Linked DNA regions of Drosophila melanogaster. The protein of the gene in region 3 interacts with the protein of the main gene of each other region in a pairwise test. Each region holds a gene or a part of one and is shown on either strand. Other genes may lie near its edges. The genes, in order: CG6340, Ugt35E1 and CG13310.

Region 1 (6,506 bases), on a different chromosome or scaffold from region 3:
CTTTTGGCTAGCTGATTGCTAATTTCGGATGAAGTATGCTTAGTTTTTTGGAAACGATAATTTTTTTTGCGTGGCAGTGGCACAAACTCAAGCGGTTCTGTTTGCTTCGTTCCACAATTTAAATCCAATTTGGCTGTTTGTTTTAATAAAGGATGTGTAAGCTTTATATGCTTTTGTTTGTGTTCTAGTAGTATTAATTCTCTTATTTATTATTATTTTTATTATTAGTTTGTGATATGGTATCGATATCCGACGTCCTATCGTCAGCTGATTTTGTTATTGTTATTGTTTTTGGTCAGCTATCGATTGGCGATAGGCAGACCGACCGCCAAGGTGCATGGCAAAAAACTGACATCTACTAAACAGAGTGCCAAAATTTAAAATTGTTTATTGTAAAAAAAAATACCTTTATTTATTATTGAATATTCAAGCATTCTTCGATTAGAGCCGCTGAACTTTGTAGTTAAAGTTGGATACTCTTAGCATACTTAGTAATAGTGTAGACTAAAAGTCTACCTAACGACGCATTTATCCCAAGCAAATCCAAAGAGAGAGCCACGTCACTTCATAAATTCTGTTGCAACGTTTATTTGAAATCAAAAAAACAAAAAATTTTCTCAACACAAACAAAAAGTTGTTGAGGAGAAACATATTGACTGACTAATGAGTTGAGTGAGTGGCATGGTATTTACAGCCTGGCAGGGAGCCGATCCTCCTCCGTTCCGATCCCTTCTAGAAAGTACGTGGCTGGGAGCCGAAACCAAGCCCCACGCCACGCATCGTGTGTGTGGCGGCTCGCGCCATCTCGTACTGCTGCTCCATGTTGGAGAACATGCGCTGGCGCTGCTGCACGTCCGTGGGCACTTTCGTTCCGCCAGCGGCTCCCGATGGCGCAGCACCTCTTACTGCGCGGTTTCCCTCGCCTGCTGCACTTCCATTGGTGGACTCCGCCTGGCCGCCCTTGCCATCGTCATTGCCGGACGTACCAGCGTTCTTGATACCCATGAGCCGCATAAACTTGGAGGCCACCTTGCCGTCGGAGTCCTGGGAGAAGTGCGCGTTGCCCCACTTGTTCGCCGAGTTCTCGCTCTTCTTGGAGCCCCACAGTAGCTTGCGCTTCTGCTGCTGCTCCGCATAGCGATTGGCATTGATGATGCTCGGATTGTAGTAACTGGGCAGCTGGATGGGTTCTGCGACTGGTGCTGCTGCCGCTGGTGTGCTCAGCTCCAAGGACATCAGCGAGGGTATCTTGGGCGCATAGTTGGGCGTGGGCAGGAGACCGCCGCCACCGCCGCCGGATGAACCGGCTGCCATGGCTGCGGCTGTTGCATTGGCAGCTACCAGAGCGGCCGCTGCAACCCTCGCCGCTGCTGTTGCATTAGTTGCCGTTGATCCTGCTCCGCCGCCTGATTTAGCGAGCAGCATATGAGATCCGGCCACAGCTCCACCGCGAAGTGTTGTGGCTTGTTCTTCCTTCGGAGATCTGGAGCGGCTGCTGGAGTCGCGTTCGCGATATTTGCGTGACTGTTGCGACTGATGGCGGCGACGAGAGGGCGGCGTGCCCGTTGGTGTGCGGGAACCGGATCGAGAGTCCCGGCGACGACGACTGCGTTCATCATGGGATCGACGGACTGATGCTGCACTGACCGCTGCAGCGGCGGCTGACGATGAGTTGTTGTGATGATGATGATGGCGTTCCTTGCCACTGTGGTGGCGACTGCTCTTCTCCGAACGCCTACGGTCCCGATCCTTGTCGCGATCTCGCTCCCTCTCCCGGTCACGATCCCGCTCCCGCTCTCTGTGGCTGTCGCCGTCTTTGGTACGATGGTGGCGATGGTCGCCCTGTAAATAGCACAGACATTAGTTTGGCTGAGTTATGCTGAGTTGATTAGGACTCTGTCTCACCTTGCTGTGATTCTTGTCGCGTCCTTTGTCGCGACTGCGTTCTGAATCGCTGCGCTTCTTGTCCTTGTCCCTGTCACGTTCGCGGTCGCGGTCCCGTTCCCTGTCCTTGTCCCGCTCCTGGCGGTGGCGACTGCTGGGCTTCGGCTCCTGGAACGGGATGAAGCAACACATTGAGGAGAATTACATTAGAGCGTATGGATCTACGAATCTGCGCCGGCGACTAAGGATCTAGGTCTAGTTGCTAGATGCTTAGGATGCTGGAGGGGAAATAGAAAGAGGATTCGGGCTGTGGGCCACCAGCTGGGGTCCTTTCCGGGGTGTCCTAGATTGCTTAGAGAGTTGTTAGGTTCTATTTGATCGCTTTTTGTATACTCACTTTCGTGCGCCTTGATCTCTCTTTCGCATTATCTCTCTCTCTCTCTCTCTCTCTCGCTTTCGCGCCACCAGTGAGTGAGTGAGTGGGTGGATGGGTGGGTGGTTGTGTGTGTGTGTGTGTGTGCGGGCGGGCATGTGTGTGGTGAGTGTGATCGTTCTATTTGCTTTTACCTTTTTCAGTGGCTCACACACACCCACCAACACAGCCACAGAGTCGCACACAGGACTACACACACAGTGGTGGTCATAACAAATTTGATCGATTGTCGCACTATCGAAGAAGCTATTGGTAATCGAGCGATTACTACGATCGGGCTATCGTCAATTATCGTCGGTCAGGTTTGTTTTCGTTTTTTGTTTTTGACTTGTTTGTTTGGAAAATGGTTTTTCGTTTTGGTTCGATTCGGTTTCGTTTACGTAACAACAATAACAATGATAATAAAATGGTAGAGTTTAGTCATTTAAATATTGATTGGCATATAAAGTTTGTAGACTTAACTAAGCTGGCCGAACAACAACAACAACAATGTGTGTGTAAATCGCAAGCGGACCGAACAAACAGAATTTTCTGTCTTTGGATTTAATTTTGAGTTTTTGGCCCATATAAATCTGGCAGTAGCGAAATTTGGATGTAACGGGTTGGAGCGCATGCAGTCGATCGTGGAGATCAATATACATAAATATATGAATATTGAATTTTTCAGTTGGGAACAGCAGATGACTAAATAATAGCACAAGAAAATGCCTGAAGCCCCTAAAGATGCAGAATCTAACAAGATCTGCGATTTATATCTGTAACTAATGGAAGTATTAATCAATGATAACCGAAGTAAAGCTGAACTACAAGACTACAAGAAAAGATTGTGAATCTGTTCTTTTCTTTAATTGCAATATAAACTATAGAACCAGTGGGGAATGGACTGCATGCATTATTGTGTTTTAACATTCCATTAATTTAGTTTTAACAATGAAGTACTGCTGCCAATGACCTTGCCTATGTATAGAATTATTACTTTTGCTGGCGTAAAGGAATGGAGGCACTGAAAACTAGGCTGCATTATTGATTTGATGCAGTGTCCTGTTTTTTTGGCACAAGTACTTTTCATTCATTACGTGGCATTTTCTCTTTTTTATTTGAAGTGAATTGGCCAATGTATACAACTGGGATTAACTTTAACTCAAAAGTTTAAAAGATCTCGGTTTCGATTTGATTGATATCTATACATTAGACGTTTGATTTAAAGCGGACTCTGTGCTATTATTTTGCCTGCCTCTGTAAGTGCTGCTGCTGGCAGCGCAGTCGGCGATGGCGTCGCCCTTTGCGGCAGCGGAAGGAAACGGCACATGAAAGATCCGCTTGCGCTCCAACCCAGATACACACACACACACATACGTATGGAGTACAATAGCATATGGTATTTGGTATATATTATGGGAAGTAAATATCGATTTGGTGCAACGGCAAGTCTTTACCTCATCAATGCGTCCTCTGCTGCTGCTCCTATGACTCTGCTGCTGCGACATCGGCTTTGTCTTCTCTCTCTCCCGCTCGCGCTCTCTTTCTCGTTCCTTGCCGCGCGGACTGTTGCCGCTGCCATAGTTATTGTTGTTCTTCTGCTTTAATAAGCTATCAGTTGTTGTTTTCGGGGATTTAGCATGCGGCAAATGCCGCAGTTGTTGTTGTTGTTGTGGTGCCTAGGGGAATTTTGCAACTTTTAAGAAACAGCAAATTCGCATTATTTTACTAAAGCACTAGGATACTTGAACTATATTATTGGAGTGGTTAGTGGTTTTGATTTTTGCTCGTTTTTTTTATGTTTTTTTTAATTGATGGGATCAGTTATCTTTATTTCGCGTTTCCGCGCATTCGTACACACACACAAGCACACACACACACACACGGTTCTCAAATACGGCAATCTCTTTCCTTGCCGCGCGGACTGTTGCCGCTAACATAGTTATTGTTGTTCTGCTCTAGTAAGTTAGCAGTTGTTGTTGTTCTCGAGGATTTAGCATGCGGCAAATGCTGCAGTTGTTGTGGTGCCAAGGGAATTTTGCAACTTTTAAGAAACAGCAAATTGGCATTATTTTACCAAAGCATACTTGAAATGTATTATTGGAGTGGTTAGTGGTTTTGAATTTTCCTCGTTTTTTTATGTTTTTTGAATTGATGGGATCAGTTCTTTATTTTGCGTTTCCGCGCATTCGCACACACACAACACAAACACGACACACACGCGGTTCCCATATACGCAAGGAAGAAAAAAGTGATGAAGATGTATGTGTACACAAAATGCGCTCTGATGATTCTTTCTTTTTTCAGCTGCTTCCGGCCTTGCGGTGTAGGCATATTTACCCGTATCTGAAAGCCAGCATCCTCCTGGTCGTCCTCACTACTATAATTCACTAGGGCCTCCATTGTTTGGGGCCAAAAATTGTTTTAGGCCAAAAATGTGGCTGAAGCACGCAGGTGCGTCCAAAAAAAAAACGAATCAATTGCTAAAAAAGAAAGTAGTGGTGGAACTATTGATAGAGATGAAAAGTGTGGCCAGCGCGCTTCGAAGTATCGATAGAATTTCCTAACTATCCGTTGATAAATAACGGTATATTTGAAAAGCCGATGTTTTGAAAAACGAAACGAAAATAGGTAAAACACATTTCAAATACACTAAAGCGCGTGTTTTTAAACTAGCTTTTTAAGCTTAATTACTCATATAGTAAAGGCATATATAGAAAGGCATATTAATTCGGACCATTCGTACCCGCCTTAAAGGAGATCGAAGAATGAGGTACCTCGGTTGGCTTCAATTAAGCCTCATTGATGGGCGGATACTGTACACGGCATGGAGTTGCTAAACGGTACTGTAAGGAGTAATCCTTTTCGATTCCGTTATCCTGACTATCTGGGCAGCAATTAGTCTGTCAAACACCTTTGAGATCGAAAGGAGAAAGCTGATCGGCCTGTTGGAAGCGGGCTCCCTTTTGTTTCGGTTTGCCAGGTTTATGGATCATGGAACTCATCCAGAGCTTCCACTGAGAAGGAAAGTATTGCTGCAGCCTCGCAATAGCGTTGAATACCAACGTTATTAAGAAGATCAGCTTATGCTTCCCTTTTTTTAGATTCGTACAATTGTTCACATTCAAAAAGGTTGAAAGTTGTTTTATTTTTTTAGTAAAGATTTTATTATCATCAGTTGTTTGCATAAAAAATGTAAATATAATTGTGTTTTGCTTTAGTCCCTAAAATTGTATGGGAATGGATTAATTACTAGCTATCACAAAATTGTAATCACGAAATTGATCACGAAACTGATTACTTTATGGCACACAAATTCGATATTTACACGAGTCAAGCATTTTGATGCATGTTCGGTGGTTTTATCAGGTGTGTTTATGAAATGGTTAATGTAATTCTGTTTTCTGTTAACAATAGATTCGCATACGTGCGTAAATGCAATTTCGTTTTCTGTTACCAATAGATTCTCGTATTTGTGTTACCAATTTTTTTTTTCTGTTACCAATAGATTTGTGTGTAAATGAAATTGTTTTTTCTGTTAGCAAACAATTCTCGTATCTGTGCAAATGCAATTATTTTTTCTGTCAACAATATGTAGATACATATGTGTGTAAATGCAATTCTGTCTTCTGTTAATAGATATGTCTCCAAAGGTATACAAAAAAAAAAAGGCTCTTATATTTAGGCCACAAATAGATGTTTTCAAAATTTCTGCTTCAAGTTGTCCTGTTCCTCTGAGATTTTTCAAATTTCCAAATTCCTGTACTTGTTCGATGTCCCGGGTAGCGGTGGGAAGTTTTTTTTTATTCAAGGCGAGATCTTCCAGTTTTTTGAGATCATCTTTCTTTCCATCCGATCCTCTAGCAAAAACGCCCATCAGAGTCACTATCTTGGCGCTCCGACTCCATTTTGTTATTAAAGCGACGCTCTGTGTTGCGAATAAAGTGAATATAAGTGTACATAAGTCTTAAATGTCTCAAATGCTAAATACTACTGATCTAAGCGTTTACAAAATTCAAAAAAAGCTTTCTAGAATGCATGAATCTGTGGGAAATGCAAATAATGTTTTGGCATTGATACTACAAGCTGTCGATACTAAAAGTGCAATAACCCAACCTAATTAAATTTAGAAATTTATAAAAATGGCGGTCCTTACTTGCAACCTTTAGACCACGATTTGGCTTGCGTCCGCCCGACTCTTCGCCTCCAT
Region 2 (3,964 bases), on a different chromosome or scaffold from region 3:
ATTTATATAGCTCATGAATTTTTGATTACGCATTTGGCAATGCGGCCAAATACGGTCAAAAGCACCAGCCGTACCCAAATGAACCAAACCAATCCAACGGAAGTGACTCCGTGCAATTTAATATTACGCATACGCAGCGTATGCAACTGATTGGCAGCGGTTAATAAATGCGCTCAAACCGTCGTTCACGCCCAGCCCACACACATGCAAATATTTGAATGCGTATTCCATAATTCACTGGACGCCAATCGAGCAGCTTTGCGTGTGACCAGAAAAGCATCGTTATAATATAAATACGCGCATCATACATAATATCCCATCATTTTGGTGCTCTATCTGTGGTGAAAACAAACTGGGAATCGCGGTGTTTCCTCGAGCCTCGTTCGGTCATACGATGGCCATTATCGCGGGGGTTAGTAGCTATAAACTATGGTAACGATATTATAGAAGAGGTAAGCAGAATTCAAACTCCTTTTAGCCATTGGGAAAATGCCACCTTAGCAATAAAAGCAAATTATCTATCTATTTGTCTGAAATTATTTATTTATTGTGCAAATATTTATTGTAAGAAATTATTTATTTATTGTGCAAATATTTATTGTAAGTATTTCTAACGAACTTTCTGCTTTCGTTGTTTTTTAACAACTAAACGCGTTGAGATATTCTTAGAAATCTTACAAACACTAAAAACAATAATAAGAAGAATGGCAATGATAACAAGCAAAATAACAAGAAGAACAGTGCCCAAGACATCCAGACTGTGGTGGGTGAAGAAGCTCAATTTTCTCCCGGCCACCCGCATATGAGGTGCTCCCTTGTGACGCAGGACGTAGTGAGTCCACCAGACAGCTGTCTCCAAAGGCTTCATTGGTTGATCTCGATAGCGAGCACCTGCTATCCTTGCCGTGACCTCAAATCTCTTCTCCGTCAGCAACTGGAGTATTGTGGCCTTCAACTCATCACTTGTCATATCATGATAGTTCAAAGACAGGCAAAAGCCATGTTTTTTGATGTGATCCACATTGGTAAATTGGTCGTAGAAGAAGGGCAATCCCAGCATGGGCTTACCATAGTGAATGCTCTCAATGGTGCTCTGCATACCTCCGTGGGTTATAAAGAGTTTCACTTTTGGGTGGGCCAGTAGGTCCTGTTGCGGTAACCATTTGCGTACTAGAACATTCGACGGTATATCCTGCAGCTCTTCATCCTCGAATTTCCACAAGACGCGTTGTGGCAGGCTGCCAAAGGCTTCTATCAATATTCTCTTGCGGTCATCTACCATATTTTTCGTCCTTACATTGGTGCCCAGAGAAAAGTAAATTACACCATGCTCACCAGAACCTTGGATAAAGTCCTCCAGATCCTGGGCTAAAGCTTTAGGTTGTTCATCAATATGCATACCACCAACTTCGATTACATTCGGAACATACGGACGTGGTGGACCCAATGTGAAATGTTGATTTACCAAAACTAAAGCAATGTCTTGGCTAATTTCAGACAGTGGCTTTGTTTCAGCTATTTTTGGGAAATACTTTTTGTAAAGTGCCTCATGCTTTTGCTCATAACGCCAGTGCCAGTTGAACCAAGAAATGGCGACTTCCACAACGTGTGCCACGCGACCCCCAAAAGTATCCAGGTTGTAAAGGTAAGATGAGGGCGACTGAAGATAGGACATCGGCGATGGATTACCAACCATTTCGTCTATTTTCCAATCGATTCCACAGGGAGCTAATCCGATAATTGGAGCCTCAAAATAGGCGGCAAGGCTATAAAAAGCATCGTACTTCCATATGTCCACAATAATCAGATCAAACTGAGCCTTTCCCGGCCTGAGTATCTCTCGTCGCACTCCGTCGTTATTAAATACATCTTTAGTAATATTATACACAAATTCATTGGTTGCGTCGAAGAACTCCCACGTGTTTTTCGGGGTTGTCATTTGTTTCAATAGTTCTAATAAGAATATAAACGTATAGATGCAAAAATCTGATTGTATATAAAATATATATTGCCTTACTTACCGTCAAAACTATTTAACACTTCCGGAACATAAATGTCGTATATATTTTTCACTGGTTCTTCAGATGGAAATGGACTTACTGAAGTTATTTCGTGACCCAAAGAGGCCAAGTTTTTGAGATATGGAAGGGCATGATAATAGTGCGAATGGGAGGGAACCGGAAACAAAGCCAAAATTCGAGCTCCATACAAGAAACCAGGAAATAGTAAAATTATAAGGTAAAACAAGCCCGATGCCAACATTTTTAGAACGCAACTTTGCTTTTATCAAGATTTCAACGAAGACTAAGTGAATTTCAGCCACAAACCATTTTAAAATAAATATTGATAAGATTAACCCGATAAGAGTGTTAGGAAGTATAATATATTTTAGCATTAACTAACAACATGCTTACATCTTCCTAATCTATATGTCATAAATCATACATCTACCTTTCTACGAATGTACACAGATATGTATTCTCTATTGATATATTTGTAAGTTAATTTATTTTTTGCTTGGGTGATATATTACCCTTTTTACTCTTTAAGATAGCCCTTAACAGTTTAATTGCACAAAGGACAACAATACTAAGGATCGCCCAAACGGCCAGGAGAAAAGTTCCCAAAACATCCAAGCTGTGGTAAGTTATAAAATCCAGATTTCTGCCCGCTACCCGCATATGAGGTGCTCCCTTGTGACGCAGGACGTAGTGAGTCCACCAGATCGCCGTATCCAAAGGATTCATTGGCTGATCCCGATACCTGTCCGCTGTTCTTTTTGCCTTGACACCAAAACTCTTCTCTGTCAGCAACTGATGAATGGTGTCCTTAAATTCATCGCTTGTCATATCCCTATAGTTTAAAACTAAACCTATGCCCTGCGCTTTGATGTGTTCCATATTTCTGAACTGATCGTAGAAGAACGGCAATCCCAGCATCGGTACACCACGATGGATACATTCGACTGTGCTCTGTAAGCCTCCATGAGTAATAAACAGCTTTACGTTTGGATGAGCAAGGATGTCCTGCTGCGGAAACCACGGGCTAATTAGAACATTTGAGGGTACATCTGACAACTCATCAGCATCGAATTTCCACAAGATGCGCTGTGGCAGGCTGGCAAATGTGTCAATCAATATTTTCCTGCGATCCTTAGACAAATTTCTACTTCTTACATTGGTGCCGAGCGAAAAGTAAATTACTCCATGTTCACCAGCCCCTTGGATAAAGTCCTCCAGGTCCTGGGGTAAAGCTTTAGGTTGTTGATCGACATGCATACCACCGACTTCAATAATATTGGGAACATACGGACGTGGTGGTGCCATCGTAAAGTGTTGGTTAACCAAAATCAAGGCGAAATTTCTGGTGATCTCGGACAGCGAACGTTTATCGGCAATTTTTGGGAAGTACTTTCTGTAGACCGCCTCATGCCTTTCCTCGTGCCGCCAATGCCAGTTAATCCAAGCCATGGACTGATCCACAAAGTGACCCAGACGTCCTCCATAGGTGTCGAGATCAAACCAGTTGAAAGACGGAGACTGCAGGTATGCTAAAGGTGATACATTGCCCACTAGTTCATCAATCTTCCAGTCGGTTCCATAAGATGCAATTCCAATGATGGGGGCATCAAAATAGGCCGCCAAGCCGTATAGAGCATCAAGCCGCCAAAGATCGACAATGATCAGATCAAACTGAAGACTTTCTGGTTGCAGAATCTCTCGACGCACTCCATCATTTTCAAGCACTTTTTCGACAAGACCAAGGGTATACTGGTTGATGTATTCAAATTCATTCCATGTGCCCTTCCGGTTTGTTAGATTTCCAACAATTTCTGAAAGGATGTTTTAAATACATTTTCGCATAGGTATATTTTAAGTAACTCTTAAGTATTACTTACCCTCTATATTGTCAAATAATTCCGGAACTGGAATATCATGTATATTAGCCACAGGTTCTTTCAATG
Region 3 (4,302 bases):
AATTGACGGTGCCACAAGAGCACTCAGTAGTACGATCAACATGAACGCTTTCATTCTGAAATTACAATTAAATCTCTAAGGAGCAACTGCACAGCTTTATAAACCCCGGGTTGGGGCCATATCTCTGTGATGATCTCGGGGCCATAACATTTATCTTTCAATGCCGTGGAATGCCATAAAACTGCTCTTCCCAGTAGCGCAATCTTCGAGTAGCACGGGAGCGCTACGGGGCAAACAGTATCATATATTCTAAGATCTTTAGCATACCTAATCTACGGCATAAAACGCTAAAGCTATCTTCTGTTTTCTAGAGACAGTTCTTATAAAAGCCCTATAGCTGTTGGATATCACAGTTAGTCCGTTAGTCACATTCAAAGTCAGCATAATGCAGCAATCCCAAATCCTAAGAAACCTAGTAAGACAATGTGCAATTTATTTTGAGAAAAAGTTTTAACAAATTTATAATTTTTAGTGCCTCATTGTGGTTGTAAGCTCGATGGCAGTTCTGGTCCAAGGAGTGTGCAACAGTTGCCAAGCCAACAATGTGAAATGCCTGAATGAAACGCACTATAGCTTTTGCTCCGATAATGTGGCGCCCAATCAGGTCCTTCAGTGTCCGGATAACAAGGTCTGCACCGACCTGGCAATCATCTGCATGGACAGCAGTGTAGTGGATAGCTCCTGCTCAGGCACTGCCGATGGATCCTGCCCCACCTGCGATGGAAACAGCATGTTCGTCTGCACCAGTCGCACCACCTTCCAGATGTGCGATGGCACCAACCTAACTGGCCAGGTCACCAAGTGCAAGGACAACAAGATCTGCTCGATTAAATCGGGCAAATACTGCGTGGATCTCTGCGAAGTGGGTGATTCCGTCGAATGCGATAGGGACAGTCCGCTATAGAACTTTTGAATTAATTTAAAATGCTTTCACTACCTCATGTCTAAACTATTAAATAAACCACGATTTTTGTAACTTATATAAATAGTTTGTTTCAATGATAAAAGAAGTTTCCCTATTAAAGTGAAACTTTGTAGATAACATTGATCATTAAGATTTTATTTGAATCTCATCTAGGGCATAAATGTTTTACAATTCCTAGATTTACCAAATGGTGAACGTACGAATCATGCACAAAGCAATCCACATTTAATTTCGCTCTTCCATTAATTTTCTATCTGTCCTTTTTGTTATATAACTAACATAATTTATTGTTAGTAGACAAGTCAGCAGACGAAAAAGAATTTCTTAAGAATTCCAGCAATAAAACACTTTTTATCACTGTTAAGCTAAAAGCTTATCATTGTTTTGGTCATCTCATGTTGTCAGGGCCAAAAGCATCGCAAATTCTATTGCGAAGGTCAGTTCTTTCGCCATAAAGAAGTGAAAACAAATTTGGAGGTATCTCTATTTACTTTAAGTATGTTTTAATTAAATTAAGCAATTTAATTGACATTGACCCAATTGAGCGAGAGTGCTGCGTAATCAAATTAGACATATGAAGCAATGACGTCAAAATGGTGCAAAGCTGTTACGTACCAAAAACATTTTTTTGTGATGACTGTGATGCCGTAAACAAATTGTTCGGCACTTTCATGCTCCGATATTTGGCCTACGGGTGGTGTTGCTCCACATTTAATGGGCGCCCAAAGGTGTGGAAAACAAATTCGCAACAGGAAACAAACAGTGAAAAGCGAGAGCACAGAGATGGGACCACCTCCCATCGAAGCCATTCAAACCAACCAAGAGCAGCCAAAACATCCGAAAAGGCCCCCTGGCACTTCGTTGATTGTGGCGCATCTAATTGTTGTGACGGTTGCGTTTTGTTATTGTAATTAATATTTAGCTAAACTCAGCTGCGTTTGGGCTTACTAAAACTAAAAAGCGAAAAGCGTTGAACAAATTGCGGTCATTAAACTTTTTGCCGCGCCGAGTGAAATAAATTGTCGCCCCCGCGGTTGCTGCCTTTCATAACAAAGTCACAAATCAACGCGAGCGGATCTGCCCAACAACTACCGATCTCCCAGTGGATTATTTACCATGTTGCATCTGCAACTGACTCTGCTCTCCTGCCTCTTGGTCCTGGCCAACTGTAAAATCCAGAAACAGATTCCGACAAACAGTTGGCGGGATATGCTTTTCGGCAGCAAGTGGCTAACTCCTGCACCACGTTGGCGCGAATCCAAATGTGGGTCTTAAAGCTGGCTAAGACCAGCAGTTAGTGTTAACAAAAGAAAAAAATTGAATTGAATTCTGTGTAACATCCACCAGTTTTGCCCATTTTCGCCCTGGTGCCCATCGGTCCTGGCAGCTGTTCAGCGCCCTCCGGCGAACAGGGAAATTGCATTCCCAGCAAGGATTGTGTACTGCGGAACGGCATCCCGGCCGGTCCTTGTGGCGGTGGCTATGGCGTCTGCTGCATCTGTGAGTTTCCCACCCATGTGAAAGCAATCGCCTATTCTTAATACCTTCGTTCAGTTCTACAGACGTGCGGCGGTATTATACGAGAGAACTCCACTTACTTTGTGAATCCCAATCACCCGGATGTCTACGATGGCACTGGTAGTTGTCAGGTAACCGTTCAAAAACTGCATCCGGACATCTGTCAGCTGCGCTTGGATTTGGATATGTTCTCGATAGCTCCTCCAGAGGCAGCCAATCATCTGTGCAATCAGGATCAGTTGCTCATATCGGGCGGTAGTCCCACGCCCACCATTTGTGGCAGTTCAACGGGAGATCACAGTGAGTGTTTGGCATGCTTTTACAAAAACATAAATTCTAGAAAATTTTAAAGGATTTCTAAGAGACTAACCACCGATTAAGTATGCTGAATTAGATGATAAGCCATCAAAACGAGTGTGTAAATATTTAATCTAAAGCGCACACTTTTAGATTAGCCCTGTAAACAAAACCGTCTTCTCAATGCCAACCTTTTGTTTTCGCAGTGTACATTGACGCGGGTCTTGGCCAGAGCAATCCGATTGTTTTGTCGGTGATCACCAGCGGAAGTTTTCCGCGTCTGTGGCGAATCCGCGTCACCCAAATCCACTGTGGTAGCATCAGTCGAGCGGACCAAGGCTGTCTGCAGTACTATACGGCAATTAGTGGTCGTGTGCGCAGCTTTAATTACAACACGGTGGGTGGAAGACAACTGTCCAATCAGGACTACAGCATCTGCATACGGAACGAGCGCAACTTTTGCGGCATTCAGTACAACGCATGTCCGGATCTGGAGAACAACAGATCCAGATCGTTCACACTCACTGGGAACTCCAACAATCCGGTGGCCACGATGGTGGGTGGTGGTGGTGGCATGCCACCAAACTTGAACGGTTGCACAAGCGATTGGCTACTGATTGGTTGCATTCGATCGGCGGACAGGATTCCTCCTCTGCCTGGTTGCGAGGATCGCGTCTGTGGAGGCACCTTTAGTGCGGAGGCCGGAATGCTCGCCAAAACAGTGCAATGTACGTACAAGCTTAGGTCATCAAATCGAATCCTATCATTAAAAGATTATTAATAATATATTTTCTTCAATATATCCCCACAGCAAGTGTTCGTCCTTTCCGGCTTTATTTCCACACGGACGGAGTAGAAGCGCCGAATGATATAGACAACCGAGGATTTTGCCTTGATTATGTTCAGCAACCATGCACAAATGGCTTTTAGACACCAGCCCACAAGTATGCAATACTCTAAACACAAAATCCACATGACGAATTCCACGCGACTAAAATCGCAAGGAAATTATGATTGGCGCTGCAAAAGTCGCAGGAAAAACGCACACATCTTTCGTATGTAATAAATATGTTTTATTTATTGATTTTCGTAATTAAGTTAGACGTAACATTAAAATTTAAGTTAATTTAGAAAATCGTGTCGGGTTTTGGTACAAATTTAGTGTTGTCGTAAAGGATATCGAAATTTCATGTGATCCAAATTCTAACATTAAAATCGTTTTCAACTACTAATACAGGTTTATTGAATTACGTTTAATTAATAATACTTAGCAGAAGCAAAACAAAAATTATATAACAGAAAAACACGATGATAAACGCTTTTGTTTAAGGACATTTTCGTTGCAGCGTTGTTGCCGTTGTTGGTACTCATTTTTTTTGCCGTGACAAAAAAGAAAATAATAAAAACCAGTACTAACTATGCGCACGTTGTCGTATAAAAGGGTAATTTCTGGGTTCGCTTGCTCGCCTGAGATCGCCAATTTCAGTCTGTGCGCGTAGTGCCCGACTTGTGACGTCACTGGGGGATGGTATTATCTCGGATGTGATGCGGGTATCTACGAT

Evidence for each region.
Region 1: the proteins of CG13310 (region 3) and CG6340 interact in a two-hybrid assay, tested with the Drosophila melanogaster proteins (one large-scale study listed by BioGRID).
Region 2: the proteins of CG13310 (region 3) and Ugt35E1 interact in a two-hybrid assay, tested with the Drosophila melanogaster proteins (one large-scale study listed by BioGRID).

Annotation. Positions count from the first base shown.
Region 1 is NC_004354.4:15,480,668-15,487,173, reverse strand, and holds CG6340 (uncharacterized protein), read right to left. Parts: upstream 4,801-6,506; 5' UTR 4,700-4,800; coding exon 4,637-4,699; intron 3,993-4,636; coding exon of another isoform or gene 3,976-3,992; coding exon 3,754-3,975; coding exon of another isoform or gene 3,499-3,753; exon of another isoform or gene 2,794-3,498; intron 2,645-2,793; coding exon of another isoform or gene 2,606-2,644; exon of another isoform or gene 2,282-2,605; intron 2,053-2,281; coding exon 1,906-2,052; intron 1,843-1,905; coding exon 733-1,842; 3' UTR 562-732; downstream 1-561. Other genes in the region: CG6324 (uncharacterized protein), read right to left, coding at 6,157-6,224, 6,453-6,506.
Region 2 is NT_033777.3:11,163,813-11,167,776, forward strand, and holds Ugt35E1 (UDP-glycosyltransferase family 35 member E1), read right to left. Parts: upstream 2,263-3,964; coding exon 2,022-2,262; intron 1,954-2,021; coding exon 611-1,953; downstream 1-610. Other genes in the region: Ugt35E2 (UDP-glycosyltransferase family 35 member E2), read right to left, coding at 2,502-3,832, 3,899-3,964.
Region 3 is NT_037436.4:8,798,212-8,802,513, reverse strand, and holds CG13310 (uncharacterized protein), read left to right. Parts: upstream 1-1,981; 5' UTR 1,982-2,041; coding exon 2,042-2,189; intron 2,190-2,272; coding exon 2,273-2,425; intron 2,426-2,479; coding exon 2,480-2,743; intron 2,744-2,946; coding exon 2,947-3,468; intron 3,469-3,551; coding exon 3,552-3,670; 3' UTR 3,671-3,784; downstream 3,785-4,302. Other genes in the region: CG34426 (uncharacterized protein), read right to left, coding at 1-42; CG13311 (uncharacterized protein), read left to right, coding at 386-415, 473-904.